7 linked regions of the Mus musculus genome follow. The protein of the gene in region 1 interacts with the protein of each later gene in a pairwise test. Links are inferred from orthologs where the notes say so. Each region holds a gene or a part of one and is shown in the gene's direction. Other genes may lie near its edges. The genes, in order: Nup62, Hsf2, Kansl1, Ssc5d, Abi2, Oip5 and Crct1.

Region 1 (4,144 bases):
TCTACTTAGAGGGGCTGACTTCTCAACTATGTCTTTCATCACTGTCCACTAAGCTTTGGTCTCCCACTTCTGTCTCCTGATGCACCCATGAGCTTAGGGATCCCTTGCTCGGAACCCTGCAGACCTAGAACAGTGTTGGGCACACTGCAGGCCCTCAGTACTGATCTTGTGAAGGAATAAATTCTTCCTTTTCTGTCCACCCCCACCCCCAGCTCAACCCACCTCTCTTCTTAACCTGTTCTTACCTGCCAGGGGCTCTCCCCCCCCTGGAAGCCCGCCCTCCAGGGCACCCCCAAGGACCTCATAGGGGCCCAGGGGGGCAGGGGCCAGGGGGAGTTTCCCATAGTCTACGAGCCAGCCCAGCCCGCTAGCTGGGAGCAGGGCCCTGTCCAGCTCCAGTCCCAGGGTCGCCAGGAGTGACATGGCTGTGACACAGGCACAGGGCAGCGACGGCAATGGAGGCTGCACCAACAATTGGGAGGCAGCGTGGAAGATTGTTCAGCTGGGTGAAGACAGGCACCAAGGCGAAGGTGGAGGACCTGTGAGGACAAGGGGACGTGGGTGGGATTGAGTCAAAGCGGCTTGACCCACAGGCTACACAGTTTCCTTCTTTCCGAAAATTTCAGCGCTCCACACATTCCCAGGGACATTATTGGAAACTCCCCTGCCCCATCTCCTCCCTCAACACAGAAACCTAGTGTTTTCCCAGGGGAATTACCTCTAGTCCCTCCTACCCACCTCATCTTATTCCTCTTCATAAAAATTTCAATCCCAAGGGAATTTCCTTCTAGCCGTGCCCCTTCCGCATCATTAGACTATACCCCCTTTAATCCACAGGGGTTCCCAGAATAATTCTGCATGCCTGGGCCCTTCATCAGTGTCACACACACAGATCCCGCTCTTCCCTTAAAAATTTTGGTGACTTCTAAAGATTCTACGGGAAGCTCCGCCCACCCTTCTGTCTGTCACAGTCAGTTCCCGTCCCCCACTAGCAAGTCCCTAGAGGCCCCGCCCCTGTAGTGCTAGTGCTAACTCTTTCTTAAAGGTGTTCCTAAAGCCTTTCCTGTCAGTTTAAGCCAGTCCCCGCCCCAGCAGGTGTCTGATTGGAGGGAAGTTGGGCCTGAGTCGGAGCCTCAAGCAAAACCCCACCCTTCCTCGCTGCTGGCTCGACTAGCGACGAGGCGCAAGCTCAGTCCCAGGACCCGATCCATTGTTACGCCACTACCCTCCTGGGGGACCAGTGCGCGTGTTTAGCCAATGACCGGCCGCCCGCCGTAGTTCAGGCCGGGGGTGGAGGGGTGGGGGGGTGGGGGAATAAGACAATGCGCATGCGCAACAGGTTGTGGGGTTGTCTCCTTGGAGGAAAAGGGGCAGAGGGTCTGTGAATTAGCGCGCAGGCGCAACGGCGCGCGAGCCGACCTTAAAAGCCCCCAAATTCTCCGGAAGCACGCCCTCCTCCTCCCCGCCCCTCGCAACTCGAGCCTAGTGCGCTTGCTCAGCGGATGCGCCGGCCGCCAGCTTCCCTCTTCTGCGCCTGCGCGACCGTGGTTCCTCACTTCGTCTCCCCCGCCCCCACCACGAGGCTGACCCGTGAAGCCCCGCGAGCTCTGAAAGGGCGGGAAAGGCAGTTGGCGAGGGAGGGGCGAGCGGTTACTCACTCCATGGCGGCGAAAAGGCGAGGAGGCAACGGCGGCGGCGGCCTCGGCTGAAGAGACGGTGTGAGCGGAGAGTGAAGGCGCGGTGAGCGCGGAGACGGGGGCGGGGGACACGACGGGGTCGCGGCTACAGAGCCATTGCGCGGGCGGAGGCGGCGTGGCGGGAGCGTTAAGGGAGACTGTGCTGAGAGGGTTGAAAATGAGGCGGCCCCGGGGCCTGGGGACAAATATACCGGGGGCGGCGCAGCGCGGGCTTGCCTGGATCCCTCCGCGCCCCGCCCTCGCGCGGCCCCGACGGGGCGGTGGCGACCCCGGGCCCGCCATGTCGCCCTGACCCTCCACTCTCTGCTTCAGGCTGGGGGCCCGGGCTCGGTCTCCTGAATCGGTCAGATCCGATGTGTCTTTCACACCCGAAACCAGCTCGTCTCGTTCTCTCTCCCTGCTTCACGAATTTGCCACCCGAGACCTCGTGGGTTAAGCCCATCGCCGAATGGCGCAAGCTAGCTTAGGCTTCATAGAGGAGTTCCAGGCAGCAACCGCGAGATAACGCTTCCCAAGTACTTGTAGAGCGCTGTATACGCGCACAGATATATCAGCTATGGAAAGTAGGCCACGAAGTCCTAACCACGAGACTCTTCAACATATTTTTGTTTGTTTTGTTTTAACATTTATTGTGGTGGTCAGAGGAGAGCTAGCAGGAGTTGGTTCTCTGACCATGTGAGTCCCAGGGACGGAACTCGGGTCAAACTATTTGGCAGCCTTTACCCACTGCTCAGTCATTGTATTTTCTTTTAGAAAAAAACCCTGACTTCACCTCTTTTACTCTCCCTACCCCAGATTCTTAGCCATATGATCGTTCTGTGTGTCCCACCTCCAAGGTTTCTGTTTCCAGCCATCCCTGCCGACCTCTAAGGTTTTGCCCTTGCTCTGACTTTCTTGCAGTCCTTGCTCTCTTGCTGACCCCACTAGATAATTATTTCTTGATCCTGTCCAAAATAGGACATTTATATTCCATTTAGTAAAAGAGTCCCTCTTGTCCTTCACCGGGGATGATGCGTGAACCCTGTTTTCTACCCCATGTTCATGTACATGGCTGGCATTCCATGTGAAAGTCAGTCAGTGTGTCATATTTGTAGCAGCTGAGAGACTGAATGGTTGGAGATAGAGCTCAAGAATGCTCGTCTGTTTTTAACACCAGAACCTTAGTCTCTGTCCAAGCACCACATGGATTGGGCTTGACTTGCCTGTATTCTCAGGATTTGGGAGATGGGAGAAAAGAAATCATGAGTTCAGGGTCATACTGACTGGCCTCAATGTGTTTTAAAAAGAAAAAGTCCAGAGGCCAGGCTTGATATCTCACCTACTTAGGAGGCTAAGACAGGAGTATTGAAAGTCAAGGTCAGGGCTGGAGCTGCTTTGAGATGGCTCTGGTGGTGATCTCTAAACTCAACCCTCCTGAGTTCCATCCTCAGGACCCACTTGGTAGAAGGACAAAAGCAACTCTAGACGGTTGTCCTCTGACCTCCACCACCTGTAGTGACAGGTCTACATACTGAGTAAGGGGAGGAAAAAAGCTCAAGGCTTGCCTTGACTAGAAAGTGAGTTCTTGGCTGTCTAGAGAACTTAACAAAGATCCTGATTTTAAAAAAATATGTAATGGGCTGGGGTTGGAGGTTGGTGGCAGAGTGTTGGCCAGAATACTGCTTTCCAGACTCTGGTGTCCATCCCTGGTACTGTAAAAGATTCAGAGCAGGTGGGGAATACTGATTTTGAAAGTTACAAGTCCTTGAGATAATTCCCCTTGGAATGGGCACTCTTTTTTTTTTTTTAGATTTTATTTATGTAAGTACACAGGTTCTCTTCAGACACACCAGAAGAGGGCATCAGATTCCATTGCAGATGGTTGTGAGCCACCATGTGGTTGCTCTGGAAAAGCAGTCAGTGCTCTGTAACACTGAGCCATCAGAGTGTGAATTCTTATCTTCTGCCAGTGTTTGAGCACAGGCGTGATTTGATGTGTTTAGACTCCAGCCCTCCCTTGCCAGCTATGGGCTTTGTTAAGTCCATGTGGAGTCTGCTACGAATACAGAAATGGGATGGACCCAGAGCTTCATGAACTGCATGCTAAATGGACATTCTACCACCTGAGCTGCATCCCTGGGCCCCACAGGTGCTGGTTTTTATTTGAAACATTGTGCCATGTTGCTGTGCCGGTGGTGCTCCTTTCCTTGAGTTTGGTATTTTAAAGTAAACTTTTGGAATAATCGAAAGGTTTCAAAGACAGTGCAGAGTGGGGGTACCAGCCCATAGTCTTCCCCATGGTACTTCTTTTTTCTTTCCTGAGGTCCTACCCAGATGCTTCCCCCGCCCTCAGATCCACCTTAACTCAAGAGCTGGTTTTCACATTTAGCTGCCATGCCCTCCCCAGCATGTGCACAGCCGTCACTTTATGGGAGTTGTGATCATCCCTGGAGGCCTGCCACCCTGAG
Region 2 (4,300 bases), on another chromosome or scaffold:
TCTGGGACTGAAAATATTCCCAAACTGAGGTAAAGCAACCCATCATCGCATTGGAATGTGCTTGGAAACTTCTAGCTAACCCACTCTGGGAATCTGGCTACAGAGTTGGTTCTGATTAGCTTTGTGTAACTGGTTGAATAGAATTTGTACCAACCTGAATCAGACCCTTTGAAGCTTCCTCTTTGGGTTGCTGTGAGGATTAAATAGGATAAGACATGCAAAGCCCTTGTCACATAAGACCTCATCAAATATTAGTCTTTTTTTTTAAAATCACAGTTACCCCATCATATATCCCCATCATATATCCAAACAGTGCTGTATGACTGTGTTCAGTATATGCTTACTGAAAAAGTTGTCTGTCTGTCTATCTATCTATCTATCTATCTATCTATCTATCTATCTATCTATATTTCTTGCCATTAGCCCAGGATACCTGGAGCTCACTATTTAACCCAGGTTGACCTCCACTGCTCCACAGTTCTACCTCAGCCTCCAGAGTGCTTGACTTACAGATTCCAGACACTATGATCAGCTATTAAGTAACAAACAAAACAAAACAACAACAAAAAAAGTTTTTTAAAAAATCTTTTTTTCAGAGATCCACGTTATTATAGCTACTCTTCACGGGTAGAAAGTCTTATTGTCAATGAAGAAATGGGAAATTTCGCTCAAGAAGCTGTTCCGAATCACATTTTGCCTGAGGAAACCCCTGTGAGGTACATGCAGAACAATCATTTTGACTCAGATACTCTAAAACTAGACTCGTTGCTTTTGAACTGGGCTTATGACAGGCACCTGATGCTTGCTGAGTTGAGAAAAGCATATAAGATGCTCTTAACAGATGCTGGCTCCTAATAGTACACACACACACACACACACACACACACACACACACACACAATAGCAAGTACTTCACAAATAGGGAACTATTATTCATGCTTCAGGTTTTGATAAAACTGTCCTTAAATGAGCTATTTTTCTCCCCATGAAAAATGTATAGAAAAGCTCATTGTCTTTAAGATAGTTTCAACCAGGGGCCTAGCACATCTGCTCACAAGCAGCTCACTGCCCCATGTGATGTATTCCTTCCTTTAGATTGGAGCAAATTACTCTTCGCCGGTCAAACTTATGAGTCAACTGCCCTTGGGCTTCTCTGCACTCTGCCAGCCACAGCCGGTGCACCCAAACCCTTTCCATGCGAATCCACTAAACAAGGTTTCCCTGGACCCAATATCATTCCCTAAGAGAGTACCCTGCCTAAAAGGTAACAGAGAAGGCTGAACCACTCTTGGGCCCACCCCTCCTCGCGGCAGCAGCCAATCGCTTTGCTCTGTAGTGCATCCGAAGCCTTGGATTGGACTCGCTGAGACCGGGCGCGGGAGTAGAGCGCAGGGGTGGAGCGCGAAGCCTTGTCCATCACGTGCGGCCGCGGGGTCTCTCCGCCTTCACCGCGCGCCCCGCGGCGCCGAGGGGGCGGAGCCCGAGATCCGCCGCGCCTGCGTGGTGTGCGTTCCCCGGAGCAGCAGCTGCTGCCACCGCCGCTGCTGCCGCCGCCGCCGCCGCCGCCGCCGCTGCGACCTCCGCGTTCGGTAGTAGAATTTGGAATCCCTGCACCGGGCTAACAATGAAGCAGAGTTCCAACGTGCCGGCTTTCCTCAGCAAGCTGTGGACGCTTGTGGAGGAAACCCACACCAACGAGTTCATCACCTGGAGTCAGGTAGGGTCGGGGACGCGGTGGCCTCGGGTCCCCCTTGTCGAACCGGCTCGGCTCGGCTCGGCTCGTTTCGGCTCGGCTCGGCTGGGCTGGGTTGGGCTGGGCTGGGCTGGGCTCGGCTTCTCCCGCGGCCTGCGGCGGCGCGCGGCCTCCCCACCTCGCGCGGACCCCCGGCTTTGTGTGCGCGGCGAGCCGGGCCCCGCAGGCTCCGTTCTCCTCCGGCCGCGCGCCGTGGGGGAGGGGCGCCCTGGTAACGGTCCCGCCGGCCCGGGGAGCTCGGAACCGGCCCCGGCGGCGCGTTCTGCACACTCATCCTCAGTCGTCTGCTCGCCGCGGGGCGCGGAGGTCGCGGAGCCCCGGGAGAGCGGGCGAGCGGGCTAGTGAGCGAGCACAGGTCTTATCTAAAGAAATCACCTCCGCGGGGATTGCTTGCCCTGGCGTCTGGGATCTTTTATGATGATAATGGGAAAATGTGCAGACTCCGACTGCTCTTGCCTTGAGCTTTTAAATTTTATTTATGTATTTTATTTATGTAGTTTTAACATAGAAATTTCCCAGTTATTGTTTTGAGACTGGGTCGTTTCTTTAAAATAATTCAAGTAAAAGTGCCTGTAGACTATGCTTAGTAACTTAGCGGCTTGGAGTTAAAAACCGAGTCGTTAAATTTCACAGAATAGTTGCCGGCATAGTGGTTTGTGGTTGCCTTGATCAGTTTGATCCAGATCCTCCTTATAAATAAAGATGACCTTAATCAAGCCCGGTATCTTGCCTGGTCTAAGTTATGTGTTAGATTGATGCGTTGCCTAGGTGACCCAAGACCCCCTCCCCCCAGTTCCACACAAAGATTCTTTGCAGAGTGATTCTTTACATCACTTGTGCCTTTCCTTTGCTAGACTCGCAATGCTTGGATTGTTCAAATCTCTTCATGAAGGGGATCGGCTCCTCTTACTGGAGTTGATGACTTATTCAGGGTATTTTCATGTTCACAGTTTTTGAGATGAGTAAGTGGGAAATACCTAGCTATATGTCAAATAAATGTTATCTCCTCCGTTTCATTTGTGCCCTTTTCTGTTGTTAAAACTAGTTTTCACCCTTGCCTGCTTTTAGGAGGTAACAGCAATAGAATATACCTGATATTTGGACAACTATGTCACTGAATTTTTGCTGAGTATTAGTGCCAAGTTTTAAAAATTTCTTTCTAGGATTTAATTTTCGTGTGTATTGTCACATAGGTGCCCCACCCCCAACCCCTGCTGGTTGTGTAGACTAAGCAATTGATTAATTTGATACATTGGTACAAAGAAGTGAAAATAAAGAAAGGCAGCTAACCAGCATGAACTTAAAATAAACAGACGGCTCATGCTTTTCATCAGGCAGAAGGATTAAAGGTTGACGAGACCGGATCAGTGCAGACCGCTCCTCAGCTGTCTTTTAACATTAGAAACTGGACTGAAATAATTTCTTTCCCCCAACCAAGCTGAGGTCATTGAACGTGAATTTGCAAAAGGCCATTTATTTGTATTGTCTATAAGTTCTACACAAATGTATTGGCAATTGGTTCTAATTAAACAGTATTGTATAAGTGACCTGATAACTTCAATTAGCCAAAACATTTTAATAACTTTCTTGCCTTTTTTGATCGGTAAGGACTGTGGAGAATTTAAACTAGTGCATACGTGTGAATTCTTAATTGTAAATGAAACAAGCTACTTAATGGCTTTTAATTACCGTATTAAGTCTCAGTTTATATTTTTAATTGCCCATTTCTAATACACCAATAGGACAGTCAACGTGTAATTAAACTCAGTGGGGTATTGGTTCTAGAGATACAGTTGGTGCTTTAATGTTTGTGTCACTGAAACTATTACATTTACAATGTAATGGGTTTGATTGGAATGGAGAAACAGGTGTTCTGAGATAGATATGAATGTGGCCCAAAACTTTTGTAAATGACAGAGTAATGTATTGTCAAAGGTTGGACACCCCAGATGGGATACTATTTGGAATGCCAGTACTGAAAGGTACAACTTTAAGCTAATGTTGATGGAAAGCCAAAATAAGTCTTTTTTGTTGTTGTTATCTTTTTTAAAAGATTTCATTTTTAACCATGGCCTTGTCTGTGTGTGCATATTGCATATTTGAATGAAGGCAGAAGAGGGAGCCAGACTTCCAAGTCTTGGACTTTGGACTGTTTTGAGCCTACCCACATGAGTGGTAGGAACCAAACTGGGGAACTCTCTGAGCAGTAAACTCTCTCTTAACTGCTAAGCCTTCCCTACATACAGCCTTGCTGTGCTCTTCTAAAAGTTTGTTTGTGTGCCTAGCTTCCTTTACATTTGTATTGAGTTGTAGAGGTGATTTTAGGATTTACAATTGGCTCAGTGGCTATTACTTTAAGGCCTTTTAAAAGCAGAAGCTCTTGAGGACTAAGCAAACTTTTATGCATCCCCTATCCTCTACAGTGATAGACAATCATATACTCCTTTAGTTTGAGGATAAAGATTTCTTTTGAAAGAAACCTTTTCACCTGTATTCTGGAAAGCTTGACTTAATGGTCCTACAGCTCTGTATAAGTTCACTTTTCCT
Region 3 (3,981 bases), on another chromosome or scaffold:
CTTCTCATCTGCTGAGCTTGGTGATTTAGTTGTTGGAACAAGTTTTATGCTATTTGATTTTGGTGAGTCCTAATAATCTTTGGACATGGTTAGCTTTAAAGGGTGGTGGATTTGTACTGTGTAATGTGTCACTTTGCGTTATATTAAGTTTTCTAAGTCCAGAAAATGTTCTCTGATATTAAACCTTATTTGGGAGGAAGGAACCGATATCGTGCTGACAAACTAGAGTCAAGAGTAATTAGGTGCCACTACTTTTAAGTCAACGCTGGTAAGAACATGACAGGTTTGCTTTTGTTGTTCATTGTTAAACTTTTAGCGGGTCTGTGAACTTTAATTTGGTAGTAGCAGGAAACAAAAAAATTACTGTGTAATGAATGCGTTTTTGCCTATTTTGGCGGATCTGACAAATCAAGAAGCCTAAAACAACACGCGGGCTTAACGAAAACTACAGTTCCCAGCGGGCCCGGCGCTGGTGGGCCATCATTTCCCCTCTAGCTCCCAGCTGCCCCTGCCCGGGCTAGCCCCGAGTCGGTCCTAGCTCGCGCCTGCGCAATGGCGTCCGCTTATTTTTTGGTTTGGCGGCTGCAGAGCGTGGCGCTAGGGCTAGCAGCCAGCCGTGTGCTGCAGTGTACAGAGCAGGGTGTAGGACAAAGGGCGGGTGGCAGGGACCGCGTCACTGGTCAGGGAGCTTCCTGCCCGTCTCAGAGCACGGTTGGCCCTGGGGTAGTGTGGCCGCAGCAGCTTCTTCATTCACTGCACACACAGTTCTTCGCTCACGTCCTCTAGCTCTGCTGTGTCAGTCCGCCCTCCCCTCAAACCGGCGCGCAGCACCGCCAGCCACAGAGCCGAGGGAATGTGACGGCATCAGCGCCTCAGGTTAGCCTCACCTCGATCGAAGCGAGGGCCCCGCGTCGCTTGCCGCAGTGCCGCGTGTCGCTGCCGCACGTATCAGGCACCAGGCACCGGTTTCCGCAAACAGAGGCGCAGAAGCAGCGGCCGCGGCTAGGAGCCATGACTGAGGCGGCGGCGGCCGCGCCTCCTGGCAGCCCGCGGGGGCGGCGAGGCGGGCGCCCCCTGGCGGCGCGCCGGGGCGGAGCGGCCCGCCGCAGCCGCAGCCGGCGGAGGCGCTGCTGTCCCTCCTCCCCGTGTCCCCGGCACTCGCCCGCTCGCTTGCTCGCTCCATTCTCCCTCCGCTTCAGATTAAAGGGGGGGAGGGAAAAGGAGCTCGGCCGCCATTTTCCCAGTGCCGCCGCCGCCACCGCCACCGCTCGCTGAGCCGGCGGGAGAACCAAGCGCCGTAGCGAAGCCGACTCGTCTCGCCGCGGCGGCTTGGGGGGCGGCCGAAGTGCGCTCCCCGGCCGGGAAGAAGCTCCCGGGGTGGCGGCCGGGGTGCGGGCGCGGGCTGCAGACGGCGGCGCTTGTTTGTGCGGGGCGGGGGGGGCAGCTTTACCCTCTGCCCCCGCCCGCCCGGGGCTGCGGTCCCCGCCGTGCCCAGGCCGGGTCGGAACGGAGGAAGGCCGGAGAAAGGGCCCGAAAGAGAAGAAAAAGCAGCCGCTCCCCGCCGCCGCCGCCTTCCCCTCCCCCTCCGCCTCGCCCCCCCGCCCGGAAAGTCAGGGCGGCTCCGGGCGCCGGGGGGGAGGAGAGCGGCGGGCCGGGCCGGAGCAGCAGCCGCGCGCCCCCGCCCGCTGGTCCTCGGCGCCCAGGCCGGGGGGCTGTTTGCAAACTGCGCCCATTTTGTGGGGCCGAATCCGCCCGGGCTACGCTCCTCCATCACGTGGTAGGTGCTGCTGCTGCTCCTTTCCTCCTCCTCCCGCTGCCCTTTCTCCTTCTCCTCGCTCTCCCTGTGGTTCCCATTTCTCCCTCTCTTTGTTAGTTGTAACTAGAAAGGCTGGGCAGGGGAAGAAAAATCCCCGGAACTTTAAATGGCCTCTCCGGGCTTCCCCGCTGCGGGTCCGGGCTGGGAGTCGCCCCAAGGGCGGGGGTGTGCGGGGGCCCTTCCCCACCAGCTGCCGCCTCGTTCGCTGGGCTTTCCTTTGGCGTTCTATTTAAAAAGGCGGCCTGGAGAACCTGGTTTATTTCCGAAAAAAAAAAAAAAAAAAAGCAAAAACAAAAAGACCAAAAACAAACTCTTGCTCTCGCCTTGAACTTCTCTTGACTGCAAAAGGTCTTTCTTTGCTCAAACACATCTTGCATGTCTGTCTCACGGTTTGTATCACAACTCTGATTGTTAACATTTTTTGTTGCTTAAATATTGAGGTCATTTGCGTTTTCGGATCTAGTCTCAGGCAGCCCTTTTTTTCAACTAAAGAGGAAGAGGCATTTATTTGCTTTTAAGTGAGTTGGAATCTTACTGCTTTTGGGGGGGCCTGTTTTCGGACTGACGGCCTTTGATTCTCAGCAAATAGTTTATAATTGTTTTCCGTATTGTAAACAATCTTACTCCCATGTTTTACCTAGAAATCCTTTTGTTTTCCAATGTTGGAATCCCAATGTGGATTTTTAGAGAAACTCGTTACTTAACTATTGCTTATTGATTGCCTTAGGGGAAAAGGGGTGACATGATGGCGCCACTTTAAATTGCTCTTTCCTCCGCCTGTTTTTTCCTCCTTTATCCTGGAGGTCACTGGAGCATTTTCCGTGACCTATTAATAAAACCGCACTTGAGGGTGTTAGCTGTACAACTCTTAGGGGTTAGAATTTGGTACCTTAAAGATTGAGAAACCCGAATCCTGCAGTCCCCAAAGTTAAGAGAAATCTCGCTAGTCCTCCAACCTAGCTTTCCTCCCCTCCATTCACAATCCTGGTGTTGCCATATCCTTCGTCACGTGGCTAGCAATCATTGTGGGGTTTTGTTTGTTTGTTTGGGGGGGTGTATGTTAATATTTTAAGCTGTAGCCAAGTAAGTGTCCCTCTGCCCATTAGAGAGATCACAATGCTCTAGGGTTTTTTTTTTTTAATACATTCGGAGAACATTTTAAAATAAACGATAAAATTACATAATCCTTGCCTTGCATAATCATGATATAGTTACAGAACTTCTTCTCAAAAGTACTTTCAATCAAGTAGGAAAATCGTTATATTAAAATGATTTCTGTTTCTTAGACTGGTCTGCAGTTTATATTTCCCACCCCACCTCCCTTTTTTGTTTTTGTTTTTAAGGTCATTTGAAGTACCAGTATTTACAAAAGCATAAAGTGGGCGTGTTTCCCTTTCCTCTCTTCTATGGGCTGTACTTGGTTTCTTGTCTTATTCTCCTACCAATTTAGAAATTTTCAATTAACTGCAGCTGTTGTCAGTTGAGACTTTTTTTTTTTTTTCTTCTGACAGTGGATACTTTTGATGTGTTTCTTTGTTGCATTTTTGATAGAGAAGTTTTTAATTCTAGTTTTCCAATCTTCTTACTTGGTTGTTATAACTTCTTGTAAATATTAACTATAAAATGCTAAAGTACATTTTTTTCTTTTTCTAGGTAAGTTACTAGCTTCAAAAAGTAAATATAAAATGTAATTCTTGAGTATGATTGATCTGTTTTCTCCTGATGTATGTTATCAATGGCTTGGGCCATTTTCTTTGCTAACAGTTACATCATGTCATGTGATAGGTGCAGTGTGATGTGTTGCTCTAAAAATATTGCGAGGTAAAAATGCTCATCCTTTGGAAATTTAAACAATGTATTGTAACTATTTGGTAACGACCCTTAGTCATGGAATCCTGAATTAGATTTCCACTAGGTTTAGCCAACCAAGTGTACAGTTCTTTTGACCTTTAGAATATTTGATTTGATTTGTTAGTGACCTCAGAACTTGAGGTGGTTTGACATTATTTTTGAAGTGTGATCTACTTGGAACCATTAACAATCACATAGATTCTTAAAATCTTTATTCTGATGAAGGTAGTTATTTAATTAAGTGTATGTGATGATTTGTTTCTGTACACAAAAGTCATCAGTTCTATGCAGATTTTGAGATAAATTGGAGGTTT
Region 4 (3,500 bases), about 40 Mb from region 1:
TAACAGATGTCAGAGCATCTGTCTTCCGCTTTCTGGCCCAGAACCATCTGACAGACCTTGAAATAAAGCAGGAATATGAGGGGCTAGCTTACCCTGCCTTGGCAGAGCTTAGCAGTTGACTAGCCCACATCTGTTTGTCCTCTTTGGACAGTATTTTGTCTGCAGATGAATAGGGCAGTTTTTGCTTAGTGGTTACCTTGCCATTACTGGAGCAACTCCATGTGGAGGTGTTGATGCTCAATTTCTTCTTTGAACCATGAAGAGGGTACTGTCAGGAGCAGGCATGTCTCTAGTCAGAATTTCTAATAATAATGAAATGATTAAATGTTAACAGATACATTCAAGTTCTTAAAATCACGTTTCTCTCCGTGCATGCATGTGTGCACACATGCCACAGTACACATAGTGGGAGAACTCTTTTTCTGCCATGTAGATGTCCCACAGGTCAGACTTCTGGTGTCAGGCTTGAGGGCAGGCGCCTTCACCCACTGAGCCATCTCGCCAGCCCCCTTTCAATGTATTTTGGGTGTATCCCTAGGAGTGGGATTTCTATATCATATGGTAATTCTACATTAGCTTTCTGAGGAGCCAGCCAGCTCTGCTTGGCTCTGTGTCCAGTGCAGGAGAGATCTCGATCAGTGCCTGCTACCTGAGCTGAAGGGTTATGAGGAGAAGCAGAGCTGAGGGAGCTGATGGGCATTTAGAAAGGAAGGCAGAAGGCAGGTAGATGAAGGCTCAGAGTGCTAGCTGGGCTCTTTGACCCTGACTCTTGCTTCTTCTTCTTCTTCTTCTTTTTTTTTTTTTCCTATTCCAGGGTCCCCCCAGTTGCGCCTGGTGGCTGGACCCAGCAGGTGCTCTGGCCGGCTGGAGGTATGGCATGACGGACGCTGGGGGACAGTATGTGATGACAGCTGGGACATGAGAGACTCAGCTGTGGTCTGCCGGGAGCTGGGCTGTGGGAGGCCTCGGCAACCAGACCCCGCAGCAGGCCGCTTTGGCTGGGGTGCAGGCCCCATCTGGCTGGATGACGTAGGTTGTATGGGGACGGAGGCTTCACTGTCAGAATGCCCTGCTGCTTCCTGGGGGAAACACAATTGCGCCCACAATGAGGATGTCGGGGTTACCTGCACTGGTGAGGATGCACTAGCCACCCACTGGCTCTAGGAGGGCTTCTAAGTGGAAGCAGTGGAGGCTAAAGGTGGTGTTAACTTGACTGAGTACTGCAAGCTCCAGCTCTGTAGTGGGTATTTAGCTCATATAACCTCATTCAAATTGCCTATGTGTAGCCAAAGTGAGGGCTAATTCACATGAACTCTGGCAGTGCATCCCCCCATTTATAGGGGTTGCTTTCCAGCTCCACAGCTAGATACTGAGCTAGGAGCTGGCTGCTCAGAACAGAATGAACATAGTACAGGTCTTTGAGGAGCTCACGCCTCATGGAGAGCAAGGGGAACACAGACAAGCTCTTGCAAACCAGCAGTGTTTGGGAGGTCTCTGAAACCGCACTGACATTCCTTCTGTTGCTAAAGGACTCCCAGAAATGAGAGAGGTGGGGGGTGGTGGGGGGTGGGGGGGGTTGTATTTCAATATACTGAAGATGCAGATTAAGTTCAGCCAAGGGAAAGCAAACACATGTGGAATGGAGTTTAGGTGTGAAGTCCTGGTGTGTGTGGGAGGGGTATAAACGGTGCTGGATTAGCCCAGCAACATGTGTGTGACAACATGAGAGAAGAGCCAGATGTGCTAGTCTTGATGTCTATGGGGATTGATTGTTTGTTTGTTTGCTTATTGGTAGGGGCTTGATTGACCACGTTCAGGGCTGTTCAGAAATCACATTGTCAGTGTGGACTTAACATGGTGCAAACTGCCTCCCCTAAACATATAAAGAGTTTCTTACCAGGCAAGAACATTCCAAGGGCTTAGAGGTCATCTTCCTAGAGCCAGGGCAAAGCCCCCAAGCTTGTCTTGGGCATGATTCGTCCTTGACTGCCTAGGTGGCCTAACCAGAGAGACAGAGTGTGGATATTGGTGACTCAAAGGATAGAGTGAGTCATCAGGATAGTGCCTCTGTCTCCTCTGGGAGCCACCGGAGGACGGGGAGCAGGGGACTGGCTTGTAGGCTTCATGCCACTCTTGAGGGTACTGAATATGAAAGAAAAGGCAGTGGTGATAGAGCAAGCCTGTGGTACCAGCACTTGGAAGGCTGAGGCAGGAGGATTCTTACGAATTTAAGGCTATCCTGAGCTATAGAGTCCTTGTCATGGGAAAACAATCAGGGGCTAAGTGGTTTAAAGTGCTGGCTGATTTTGAAGAGGACCCAGGTTTGAGTCCCAGCACCCACATGGCAGCTCTCTAACTCTACTTGGTGGGTAGGGAATCTGATGCCCTCTTCTGGCCACTGCAGGCACTGAACCCACATAGAGCACAGACATTCATGAAGGGGAAATACATCAAATAGAAGTAAATCTTTAGTGTGTGTGTGTGTGTGTGTGTGTGTGTGTGTGTGTGTGTGTGTGTGTGTGTAGGCATGGTGGGGCAGACCTATAATCCTAGTTACTTGAGATGGTGTAAGAGGATCACAAGTTCAAGGCCTGCCTGGACAGCTTTGCTCCCGTCTCAGAGTAAAAACATAAGCAGCTGATACATTGCTAAGAGATGAAGCCCTTAAGGCAGCAGTTTTCAGCTCATGGGTTGTGACCCCTTTAGGGGTTGAAGGAGCCTTTCACAGAGGTCACTTAAGTCCTGGAATAATCAGCTAGTTATATAATGATTCATAACAGTAGTAATATTACAGTTATGAAGTAACAACAAAAAATACTTTTATGGTTGGGGTTTACCAAAACTAGAGGAGCTGCATTAAAAGGTGGAAGTGTTAGGAAGGTTGAGAACCACTGTCTTAGGGTGTGTGCCTAGGAGTGGAGTAGCTATCCTGCATTTCCCTATTCCTTGACTTTAAAAAAAATTGACTTTATTATTTTTAACCATGTACATGCATTTGTGTGTATGGCACTCTTCCCTGCTGGGCTGTCCCTCCAGCCCCTAGCCCCAGCTTTTTGTGGAATCTGCACGCTAGTTTCCCAGAGTGGCTACACCACTAGACACTCCCACTAAGCGTGAAGGAGGACTCTGTTTCCTATTGGCTGTCATTTGTTTCCTTGATGATAGTTTTTCTGACTGGGATGAGATGGGATCTCAAAGTAGCTTTAACTGTTGTACCAGGCTCTTAATGACAGTTTTAATCCACCGGTAACGCAGATGACCTCTGATGGATCGCATGACAAAAACCCAAGGTTATGAAGAGGGGAGAGAGGCAGGTAGGGGTGAGAGAGATAATTAGGGAACAATGCACTGTAGACATGCTCGCAATGCTCAGGGGGCAAGCACACTTAGTATAGATTGCCTTTATTTAGTTTTTATTTTATTTTATTTTATTTTATTTTTTGTTTTTTTAGATTTATTTATTATATGTAAGTACACTGTAGCTGTCTTCAGACACTCCA
Region 5 (4,300 bases), on another chromosome or scaffold:
CCATCTCTCCAGACCCATCAACACAGTTTTTTGATTTACTGGTTTGTATAAGAGTCTGATCTGATGTTTGTTTTCTTCACCTGTTTGTACCTCATTTCCTGAAACAAGTGCATGTGTCTATACATAACTATCCCCCTCCACACACTTTAGGCTTCTCTTCTTTTTCCACACATAGTTAAACTCAGCTACAAACCCCAGCTCTCCCTTTTGTTTTTAACAAGCTTCTCACACTTAGAACATTCACACTAAGACAGGTGTTTAAAGTGCTGAACAATAGATCCAGGTGGACCACATCATCATTTAAAAATACTGTTTTAGGCTCTGCGGCAAAAGCTCACGCATATTGGTAATGTATTTATCATAAAGCCAACGTAACAACACAGGGTTTACTCCACAAATATGTGAGCGAGTGCATTTGATTTTTTTCTAGGAATGTATAATCGTTCCCTCATCATCTGAAATTTGATCACAGGAGGCCAAGTGACAGCAAGAGCAATAAAAGTTGAAACCACAAATCCTAAACTCTAAACCCCTCTAAGATGGTGGGTGCCCTTTGGGTTTCCACAGAACTAACAAAGATTGTGGTCTTGATATCACAGAAGGTGTCAGTTTTATTTATTTTTTTCAAGTTTCACGGTGTGGGCCAATCATATTTATGAAAAAAGATTAGATATCTGGATAACAAGACCAGGATGAACGTCCTTGAATTTGTAGTACTTAATCTGAAAAAAACGCACGTTTGTCATTGTTCGTTTAATCTTATTCATGCTACAACCATGTGAATAAATAAAATAGTACCAGCAAAACCACCATCGAAATTTTAAAAAAAGTGAAGTGAGGAGGAGGCCCAGGCTGGGCAACCACAGCATGTGGCTGTAATTCCAGTCAGCCCGGTCTATACAGGAGACCATGCCAAGAAGAAAGAGAGGACAGGACAGGGGACGGAAGGGAGTGAATGAATGAATGAATGAATGAACGAACGAATAGGTTTGGGACTAGGTAACTGCAATTTGTAAAGAAGCCGATGAGGTTCAAGGTGGTATTTAGAGCTGCCTGGAAGTTCAGTGGCTCTGCCTGTTCGGATGAGGTGTTATCTTTCACAGAGCTTGTGAAGACACTGTGTCCTCTCCCTAGGCGAGCTTCCTCAGGCAGATGACCTCCGCAGGGTTCCGGCCCCGGGTGAAGTGCAGAGGTGAAGATGGGGGGCGGCGGCGTGAAGCAGCAGGGAGCAGAGGTGCATTCCCGCCCGGCTAACAAAGGCTGCTGAGGACTCCCAGACCCAGGAAGGCCGCGCGGGGCCGAAGGGTTAACCCAGAGCCCCGCTCCCGCGCGCATCCCGGCCCCCGCCCTCCCGTCGCTAGGAGACGCCGGAAGTGGGGGAGGGGCGGCGCGGGTGGGAATCTTTTTCGGGCGCTGGGGGCGGGTGGAGGGGAGCGCGCGTGCGCGCGCCCGTCGCCGCGGTGACCGTCCTCGCGGCCCGTCGGCTCGCGCCCCGCCTCCATTCCCCTCCGCCCCCTCCCTCGTCGCGCGCCGTAGGGTGTGTGTGGGGGGGTAGCCGCTCGCTCCTCCCGATTCCCGCCGCGTCCGCCGCTGCTCCTCCTCTCCCGGGCGTCGCGGCCGCTGCCTCTGCGGGCTGTATGAGGAGGAGTAGGAGGAGGAGGAGGAGGAAGAGAAGGATGTGAAGATGGCGGAGCTGCAGATGCTGCTGGAAGAGGAAATCCCGGGGGGCCGCCGGGCTCTCTTCGACAGCTACACGAATCTGGAGCGGGTGGCCGACTACTGCGAGAATAACTACATCCAGGTGCGATGCGACGCGGCCCCTCGCGCGGCTCGGCGCGGCAGGACGCGGGCTGTGAGGGGCGCGCGGGGCGATGGCGAGCGGGGGAGGCCGCGCGGTGCTCGGTCCAGGGAGCCGCGCCGGGGTAGGGACAGGGCGAGGGCGGCGGCTGCAGGGAGCGAGGGTCGCCACCAGGCCCCAGCAGCCCCGTGCGAGTGACCGGTGCGGTGCCGTGCGGTGCGTGGCGTCCCGCCCCCTCGCCTCTGCCCCGTCGCCCCCGCAGTCCTCTCCTGTCAGTGTTCCGGATGGCGGGGGAGGTGGCGAGTGGCGTTTTCTGTCTAACGGGATCTTGCTCGATGGCAGGCTTGTGTGACAGAGGGATAGGTTACCCCCTGCCCAAATTCCGAGGGACCCCCTTTTTATTAAGGGGTCCTTTTTCTGCAAAGTGAAATGCCTCACTTCTCCATTCCTGCGAATGTACCCTGAAGACAAAACAAAAATTCTTAACCCTTAAGTTTAAACATTTTTAAAATGTAAAAGGGGCATGGTGGAACGGCTGTCTCTTATTGCAAGTTAATACCATTTTTTTTTTCTCCTCCCTGTGGAGAATGGGAAACTGATAATGAGCTGCCTTTCCTTCTCAGGTCTCGTTAGAATAGGTAATTTTCCTTTGGGGAAAAAAGAACTATGACTATTTTCACAAAGAATTAGGGAAACGAACCACATGGTTTAGTTTTTTTCCCATGATGATTGGTTTGGCCCAGGGACTTCAGTGTATGTGTGTGTAGGAAGGTGAGAAGTGTGTGTGGGGCGGGGCATTGGTGAGATGAGAACCAGCTGGTCATGGGATAAATGTAAAAATTTTGTGAAGCAACACTTTAAAAATTAACTCATGGTATGCAAATCCAGTATCTCTTGTTTTCCGTAGGGCTTATACTGAATTACAGGTTGTGTCTACATTTTTTTTACTCCCGTTTAAATTCTTTGGATAAAATGGAATGGAAGCGTGATGCTTAAACTGTTAGCTGTATTTTAATGTTCTTGTCCCTACTCCCGTCCCTGCAGATATCCTTAACAGCAGTTGTATTGAAAACATTCTCAAATCTGAGTATGAATTGGAAAAAAAAAAAAAACCCCAAAAAACCAAAACAAAAAAACCCAGATGCTGCAATTTATAGGATCTTAAGTTTTTTGAGGACCACATTGTTAGTCAAAGACAATGTGCTTAGATTTTATTTGGTTATACACACACTGAACTCTACTATTATGTTGTAAACATTTGTATTGAGAATGAATCAGACATAATTGAATCTTCTCCCCTAAAAAGAAGTGGTGGAAAGTGTGTGTTCAGTAGGAAGAGTGTGTGTGTCTTTGGTCAAAGATTGATCAAAATTCCCCACAAATGTCTGTCAGATACTTTACAAATACAGAGCTATGTAGGAAGCATTCAAAGGTTTTACTGCAGGCTGGAGAGATGGCTCAATGGTTTAGAGCACTGACTGCTCTTCCAGAGGTCCTGAGTTAAGTTTCCAGCAACCACATGGTGGCTCACAACCATCTGTAATGGGATCTGATGCCCTCTTCTGGTGTGTCTGAAGACAGCTACAGTGTACTCATATACATAAAATACATCTTAATCAAAACAAAACAAAGATTTTTATTGCTTATCCTGAACTCTTCTGGGGTTTATAATATAGTTCAAGAGACCGATCTGTGAGCAAATTAAATAGCAATACCATGTACCATCAGCCCTTCTTGTGGGAGGAGGAAATAGTCTTCCTTCTTCTTGTCATTCCCAAACAGTGTAACAACTACTTAACGTGCCATGTACATTTTATTATATAGTATAAATAATGTACAGATTTGAACTCTAGGGGAGGATGTGTGATAGATTGAATGTAAATTTTATGCCATTTTATGTAAAGGACTTCAGTATCCAAGGATGGGGTTGGAGTGGGGATTGGGGTGGGGTGGGAGTGTGTCCTAGAACTAATTCCTATTGGATACTGTGCGACGAGCTAAGTATAGTTAATTTATACTTTGTAGGGAATTGTGGGTAGAAAGGTGATGCTTATTTTCAGGGCGTCACAGCTGCTTGGAGAGGCAAAACCTAAAAGACCCAAAGTGCTAATTGTGTTCCCTTGTGTAACATAGTATGGGAAAGTCTTATCTGTCAGAAGAGAAATTGGGGAGTGGAAAAGTGATTAGATTGCAATTGCAGCCAGCTAATAAGAAAAAGGTTTTTGAAAGATGAATGTTACCATAATTTGAGATTATAATTGCCACATAAAGGGAAAGTACATGAATTGATAAAGTGGAGAGGTGAAAGAGATCACATTGTCTTAAAATTTATAATTCTAGCCTACAGAGTATCAAAGTTGGTGTGTTATTTATACTTATACTTATTCTTTTTTTTTTTTTTTTTTTTTTTGAGACAGGGTTTCTCTGTGTAGCCTGGGCTGTCCTGGAACTCACTTTGTAGACCAGGCTGTCCTCCAAGTGCTGGGATTAAAGGCACCACCA
Region 6 (3,237 bases), on another chromosome or scaffold:
TGTTTGTTTGTTTGTTTGAGACAGGGTTTCTCTGTGTAGCCCTGGCTGTCCTGGAACTCACTTTGTAGACCAGGCTGGCCTCGAACTCAGAAATCTGCCTACCTCTGCCTCCCGAACTATAGGCAATTTTTAAGTGTGTTTTGTTTTGTTCGTAGATTTATTTATTTATTTATTTATTTTTGGTTTTTTGAGACAGGGTTTCCCTGTGTAGCCCTGGCTGTCCTGGAACTCACTTTGTGGACCAGGCTGGCCTGGAACTCAGAAATCCGCCTGCCTCTGCCTCCCAAGTGCTGGGATTAAAGGCGTGAGCCACCACTGCTCAGCTAGACTTATTTTTATTTTAAGTCTAGTAACAATATAAGCAGCAAATCAAGGGGTGAGTATAAGATGTCTCCAATCTATGTCTCTCCCAGCTGAAAGAGAAGATAATGCTAATGCATACTCGTCTAAACTCACTGACGGGGCTTCTGAAGGGAAAGTCTCCTCATCAGTTTAAGCAAGAAAACCAACAAGCAAGGTAGAGTACAGAATTTTCTTCAACAACTGGGGTGCTTTGGTCATTTCTTCTTTTTTTCTTAAGGTCTCTTTCCTTTCTCTGTCTCTGTGTGTGTCTGTCTGTCTGTAACATGTGTGCCGTTGCCCGTGGAGGCCAGAAGGCGGCATGGGATGTTGTTTTAGAACTAGGCTATATCCATCCTTTCCTTTACTATAGGCTTTTTTTTTTTTTTTTGGTTTTTTGTTTTTTGAGACAGGGTTTCTCTGTATAGCCCTGGCTGTCCTGGAACTCACTATGTGGACCAGGCTGGCTGGAACTCAGAAATCCACCTGACTCAGAAATCCACCTGCCTCTGCCTCCCAAGTGCTGGGATTAAAGACATGCACCACCACTGCCCGGCTTGGTCTTTTATTTTTTTAAATATTACTAAGAACTGAGGACTGGTGACACATAACTGTGATCTCAGCACTTGAAATACAAGAAGGAAGGTCACATGTTTAAGGCAATCCTTAGCTGTGTTATGAATTTGAGGCCACCCTAAATTTCATAAGACCCTGTCTCACATGTACTCCTCCCAGAAACAATTGTTTGAGAATATGCCTTTGAGCCTATGCCTTTCCTCAGCTCATCAGCCCATTCCTGCTTTGGGGAGTGTTTTTCTTTTTCATAATAAGCTGTGGCTAATACCTTATTTGCCTGATGTAACTGTCTTCTCCAAGGCTTGGTGCCTCCATCTGCTAACTAAGGCTTAATCCTGGAAGCTTCTAGACTCTGTACAATCTTACCGAGATCTAGAATGTTTTTAGCCTCTGAGACCTACTGCTGAATAAACTCATAAACTCACCCTTTCTAGCTCTTTCTGAACTCTAGTCAGCTTTTTGGCTCAAACATCTCACCATGCTGACTATTCAGTCTGGCTTCTCTCGCTTCTGAATTACTCTGCTTGACCTCGTACTAACTTTGCCAATATGTTCTCATTTTCTGGCTCCTTCTGTCTTTACCTGTGTTTAGCTTTTCTTTCTTCAGTCTGTCTCTGTAAAACTCTCCTGGTAAAACTACATCTTTTCTTTTCTCTCTCTGCACTGCCCCTTCAGTAGCTTCCTTTCCTCTCTCTCTCATTAGTTGGGCATATTCTATTCTGTCAAGTCTTTCTCTGATTTGTCAGTTTGTCTGCTGCTCAATCAGACATCACTTTCAAACATGGGTGCTTCCTTCTATAAACTAACTTTACCTTCATTATTTGGGATTAAAGATGTATACTAAGTAAGGGCGTATCTGTATGCTGTGCTCCAGCCAGAGGGATTAAAGGTGTGTGTACGCATATGTATGCATGGTAAGGGCTGAGCTACACCACAACTATAAAGTTTAGTTTTTTTAGTTTTTGTTTGTTTGTTTGTTTGTTTTTTAGGAAACAACACATCTTGGGGTTAACAGCATCACCAAAGATCCTGTAACATGTGACTCTATTACTTTAAATTTATTTTAGTACATTTACTCCATAATGCCTATTTCTGAAAATGTATTTCACTACTAATAATTAATTAGCATGCAGTGTCCCTTGTGTCCACTGTTGAAAAAATGAAGTTGGCCAGGATAAAGCGATGGAGGTAATAGTGATTGTACTCTGACATGCCAGTTTTATGAAAACTGATAAATACTTGTTCCTTTGTTTTGAGATAGGGTCTTTCTATATAGCTTTGGCCGTCCTGGAACTTTCTATATAGACCAGGGTAGCCTTAAACTTACAGAGATCCACATGCCTCTGCTTCTCTGCTAGAATTAAAGAATGTCACAGAGAAATCATCTTTGCTTATGTAAAATAGATGTGTACATTGGATGCTGGTGGTGCATGCCTTTAATCCCAACACTCTGGAGGCAGAAGTGGGCAGATAGATCAGTTCATGACCAGCCTGATCTACAGAGTGAGTTCTAGGACAGACAAGTCTACACAGAGAAACCCTGTCTGAACAAAACAGCAGCAACAGCAAATGTATGTATGTATATATATATATATGTACATATATATATATATGTATGTAATAAGTAACAGTTAATAAATAGAATACATTGTACAATAAAGAATTCAGGGGCCAGCGAGATGGCTCAGTGGTTGGGAGCACCAACTGCTCTTCCGAAGGTCCCGAGTTTGGGTCCCAGCAACCACATGGTGGCTCACAACCATCCCTAAGGAAATCTGATGCCCTCTTCTAGAGTATCTGGAAACAGCTACAGTGTACTTACATATAATAAATAAATCAATCTTAAAAAAAAAAAAAGAATTTGTATCTTTTGCTGGTTTTTTTTTTTTTAATTTACTTACTTTATTTACATTAGTATACTGCAACTGTCTTCAGACATACCAGAAGAGGGCATCGAATCCCATTACAGATGGTTGTGAGCCACCATGTGGTTGCTGGGAATTGCACTCAGGACCTTTGGAAGAACAGTCAGTGCTGTTAACTGCTAAGCCATCTCTCCATCCCTTGCTACTGTTTTAAGACAGGGTCTCACTGTGTAATCTCCATTTTAAAACATGTTATGTGGACCAAGCTGATCTTGAATAGAGATCCACCTACCTTTGCCTCCTAGATTTTGAGATTAAAGATGTGCACCACACTGCTGTTGGGCCTGCAGAGGCTGTCAGATCCCCTGGAACTGGAATTATAGGTAGTTAGGGTGTTGGAAACTGAACCCTAGTTCTCTGAAATAGCAGTAAGTGTACTTAACCTGCTGAACCATCT
Region 7 (3,176 bases), on another chromosome or scaffold:
TCTTCTTGGAATGTCTTACCTCTTCTTGCCAGGTGCTCTGGTTCAGTAAGCAACCTGTTAATCAGGCTCTAAAGCCATGGTAAATGAAATGGGTATCTTCTATGACTTGTCTTTCCTTGTCTGTTTCCTCATGCCACACCCAGCAATGCACCCCAAAACCTATCTCACTCTTAATCCCTGAATTCTTAATCTTAGATTCTCTTATGTCTCATACTCATGGTTGGTGTGACCAGGTAGTTCCAATGATTGAATCAGAGGCAGTTGACCTCCAAAGTTTCCTCCAGTTTTATAAATCAGCTAATCGAAACGCAACAATTACTATGGGAACTTTCAGGCCGTTCCCCCTTTTATTTTCCTCCTTTTTCTTCTTTGCTCTTTTATTTTATCCTTTTCATTTTGTTTTGTTTTATTTTGTCTTTTTCCTATTTGTCAGTAGTTCTAGGGACAATCTATCCTTAAGGAGATGATATCAGAAACAGGAGCTCCATAGGCTAACCAGCTTACTATTTTCCAATAGGCCTATACTCCTCAACCATTTTTGTCTGCGATCCATCAGGGTTACATAATGGGAATATGGTCAAGTGACTTCTTTTGGTCTTATTGGTCCCTTAACCTTGCCTGGGCTATTCTTCCTGTTAATGGTGACAGGAAGAAACCACCGTTGTGATTTCCATCCCCACCATCATCTTCCTTCAGTGCTCTCTAGAAGCATCTGGATAAAAGCCAGAGGGTTCATCACATAGCCTGCAGCCTGCTATGAAAGACAAGAACCAAGGGCCATAGAGATGCAAATAAGACAATAAATGATAAGGAGATAGCTATACATGAATAAGTGTGAGAAAGTAGAACAGTGCAGGTGTTCTCCTCCCCTCCTGCTGTGTGTGTGTATACAGTGTTTAAGAGAGAACCCCGGACCTCTCCTCATTTGACCCCCCCCCCCCAGGCCTTCTCTAAGCACATACAGCCCTCCCAGCTATGAACAGTATCCGGTTTGAAAAGTAAACACACCACAGCAATCCTGGCACCTCTGTGAAGTGACTTGGTTGTCCACGTGCACCACCTACAGTGCTATCTGAGTGATGAATGCTTCTGGGATGTAAGTGTCAGCTGAGCATGTCTGTTGAGAAATGGGCTCCTCCCAAGGACCTGGACTTGTTGGAATCTTATAAAAGCTTCTCTGGCCATACACTGTTCAGTCTTCTGCCTAGCAGGTGTCAAGTTCCAGTTGGAGAACTGAGTGAGTCTTCCTGTGGAGCCAAGGTCTAGTAAGTATCTAAGCGGGGTGTCTGGGGGAGGAAGCTGGGGAGAATGGAAGACAGAAAGGAGGAAGTAGGATGCAGCCAGAATGTAGCTGTTGGAATCTGGCTTCCAGTGAGCCAGCCTTTTGTGTTGCCTATGAAGATGCAAAGGCTTGGCATGGCGCTGACCTTTGAAAGGTTTTCCAGACTGTAAAGAGCTTTGAGTAACCCGGGTCTTTAGGTTCCCTGGTTAAGTTATTCCTATTCTCTGCCTTTTCCTTATAATGTGAAGGACAGGCAAGAAAGAAGGTGCAGAGCACGCTTTTGTGTTTTCGAATTCTCTATACCCAAGACAGAGGGACACAGGTAATACTTGTGTGTTTTCTGACCGATGTGATGCTTATACGATATTAACTGAGATTACCACTTGAAAGAGCTGCGTGGTCAAAGTACAGTTAGGAAAAGGCTGAAGCCAAGAGATTTTTGATTGAGTCATATAGATAAATTGCAGCCGTATGCTCTTTATTTTCCATCATGGAGCTCTTGGATGGTCCTAATGTCAGTCAGGGAGACTGCACTGATCCTTTTCAAATTCTGTTTCCTGCTTTGTGCCTCCACCACTGGAAGCTCCTGTTTGAGTTTGTTTCTTTGTTTCCCTTCTTTTTCTTTCTTTCTTTTATTCCTCTTGTCCCAAAGCCAGACAGACTTTTCTCTAAGGCAAATACTTAAAGTTCTGTGTTCCACTATAGGGAAGAAAAGGCGGGGTTTTAAAAAAGATTGTCTTTCTTTCAGATTCATCTTGACAAACGCCGAGATGTCTCAACAGGGCGCCAAAGGCTTTTCCAAAGGGTCTTCCCAGAGTTCCGCCCCCTGCCCCGCCCCGACTCCTGCCCCCGCGTCCTCCTCCTCCTCTTGCTGTGGCGGAGGCTGCTGCAGGGGCTGCGGGGGCGGCTGCGGTGGTGACTCTGGCTGCTGCGGCTCCAGTTCCACCGGCTGCTGCTGCTTTCCCAGGAGACGCCGCCGACAGCGCTCTGGCGGCTGCGGCTGCTGCTGCGGAGGAAGCCAAAGGTCTCAACGCTCCTGCAACAATCAGAGTTCAGGCTGCTGCTCCGGTGGCTGCTGAAAGCCTACAGAGCTTCTCCGGAACAGCTGGCATCGCACAGCGTCTTTGCTGCTCTCACCCAGTCCTCCATAGTAGTAACAGGAAGGACCGGCCTAGGAGTTTGGTTTCCCTTAAGCTAACTGCACTTTGATGTTCAGAAACTTCACCCTGTTCTTAGACCTGTCCTCTAACGTTGATTTTCCTCCCAGGGGATACAAGTCAGGGGTGGGACTTCAGATCACGCTATGGGCAGGAGGTTGTGCACAGCAGTGTTCAAAACAGGCCTCCTGATTTGATTGTCGCCTGGAGACATAATAATAAAGCTTCTACCTCCTATGAACGCTTCTTTTCCTATTTATTCCTCCATCCGTGCCTTCAGTTTTCTTATTTTATACTACCTACCCCTCAAAGGCTCATGCCTGAAGGAGAACAAACACATTAACTCTCTGCGAGTTCTCAGGATTTGGGGTAGGCAGTCTCATCTACTTTGTGTAATGACTCACTGTGGTGGCTGCTGCTGCGTCCATTTTACAGAAGGGAAACTAACGTTAAGCTCAGAGTCACTTCTATGCCTGCAAGATGGAGATGACTGCAAGATTCCGGAGATCATTTTGTTAATTGGTGTGCTTAGCTTGGTCTACTCGAAGTGATTTGGAAACTCGGAGTTCCTCCTAGAGCAAGCCTTGCCCAGTCCCCAGGCCCAGACAACCGAGGGAGTCTGGTTTGAAATGGCAAGTTTAGGAATTTGAATTCAGTTCTGTTGAATGTTTTCTCTTCGTTCCTCTTTTCTTTTCCTCCCTTCTTTTCTACTTCTCCCCCCCCCCTTCCCTATCCTT

Evidence for each region.
Region 2: the proteins of Nup62 (region 1) and Hsf2 interact in binary tests that used the Homo sapiens proteins (3 or more experiments, as listed by UniProt). The link is inferred for Mus musculus from reciprocal best matches to the Homo sapiens genes NUP62 and HSF2.
Region 3: the proteins of Nup62 (region 1) and Kansl1 interact in binary tests that used the Homo sapiens proteins (3 or more experiments, as listed by UniProt). The two-hybrid records come from large-scale screens. The link is inferred for Mus musculus from reciprocal best matches to the Homo sapiens genes NUP62 and KANSL1.
Region 4: the proteins of Nup62 (region 1) and Ssc5d interact in binary tests that used the Homo sapiens proteins (3 or more experiments, as listed by UniProt). The two-hybrid records come from large-scale screens. The link is inferred for Mus musculus from reciprocal best matches to the Homo sapiens genes NUP62 and SSC5D.
Region 5: the proteins of Nup62 (region 1) and Abi2 interact in binary tests that used the Homo sapiens proteins (3 or more experiments, as listed by UniProt). The link is inferred for Mus musculus from reciprocal best matches to the Homo sapiens genes NUP62 and ABI2.
Region 6: the proteins of Nup62 (region 1) and Oip5 interact in binary tests that used the Homo sapiens proteins (3 or more experiments, as listed by UniProt). The two-hybrid records come from large-scale screens. The link is inferred for Mus musculus from reciprocal best matches to the Homo sapiens genes NUP62 and OIP5.
Region 7: the proteins of Nup62 (region 1) and Crct1 interact in binary tests that used the Homo sapiens proteins (3 or more experiments, as listed by UniProt). The two-hybrid records come from large-scale screens. The link is inferred for Mus musculus from reciprocal best matches to the Homo sapiens genes NUP62 and CRCT1.

The regions. Positions count from the first base shown.
Region 1 is NC_000073.6:44,814,744-44,818,887, forward strand, and holds the start of Nup62 (nuclear pore glycoprotein p62), read left to right. Parts: upstream 1-1,344; 5' UTR 1,345-1,740; exon of another isoform or gene 1,741-1,915; intron 1,916-4,144. Other genes in the region: Atf5 (cyclic AMP-dependent transcription factor ATF-5), read right to left, coding at 246-423. UniProt on the Homo sapiens protein: Essential component of the nuclear pore complex. The N-terminal is probably involved in nucleocytoplasmic transport.
Region 2 is NC_000076.6:57,484,885-57,489,184, forward strand, and holds the start of Hsf2 (heat shock factor protein 2), read left to right. Parts: upstream 1-1,500; 5' UTR 1,501-1,624; coding exon 1,625-1,717; intron 1,718-1,843; exon of another isoform or gene 1,844-4,300. UniProt on the Homo sapiens protein: DNA-binding protein that specifically binds heat shock promoter elements (HSE) and activates transcription. In higher eukaryotes, HSF is unable to bind to the HSE unless the cells are heat shocked.
Region 3 is NC_000077.6:104,439,521-104,443,501, reverse strand, and holds the start of Kansl1 (KAT8 regulatory NSL complex subunit 1), read left to right. Parts: upstream 1-1,181; 5' UTR 1,182-1,777; intron 1,778-3,981. UniProt on the Homo sapiens protein: Non-catalytic component of the NSL histone acetyltransferase complex, a multiprotein complex that mediates histone H4 acetylation at 'Lys-5'- and 'Lys-8' (H4K5ac and H4K8ac) at transcription start sites and promotes transcription initiation.
Region 4 is NC_000073.6:4,932,321-4,935,820, forward strand, and holds part of Ssc5d (soluble scavenger receptor cysteine-rich domain-containing protein SSC5D precursor), read left to right. Parts: intron 1-814; coding exon 815-1,132; intron 1,133-3,500.
Region 5 is NC_000067.6:60,408,119-60,412,418, forward strand, and holds the start of Abi2 (abl interactor 2), read left to right. Parts: upstream 1-1,500; 5' UTR 1,501-1,684; coding exon 1,685-1,801; intron 1,802-4,300. UniProt on the Homo sapiens protein: Regulator of actin cytoskeleton dynamics underlying cell motility and adhesion. Functions as a component of the WAVE complex, which activates actin nucleating machinery Arp2/3 to drive lamellipodia formation.
Region 6 is NC_000068.7:119,609,032-119,612,268, reverse strand, and holds the end of Oip5 (protein Mis18-beta), read left to right. Parts: intron 1-413; coding exon 414-517; intron 518-1,904; coding exon 1,905-1,950; 3' UTR 1,951-2,737; downstream 2,738-3,237. UniProt on the Homo sapiens protein: Required for recruitment of CENPA to centromeres and normal chromosome segregation during mitosis.
Region 7 is NC_000069.6:93,013,705-93,016,880, reverse strand, and holds Crct1 (cysteine-rich C-terminal protein 1), read left to right. Parts: upstream 1-1,194; 5' UTR 1,195-1,265; intron 1,266-2,030; 5' UTR 2,031-2,052; coding exon 2,053-2,361; 3' UTR 2,362-2,676; downstream 2,677-3,176.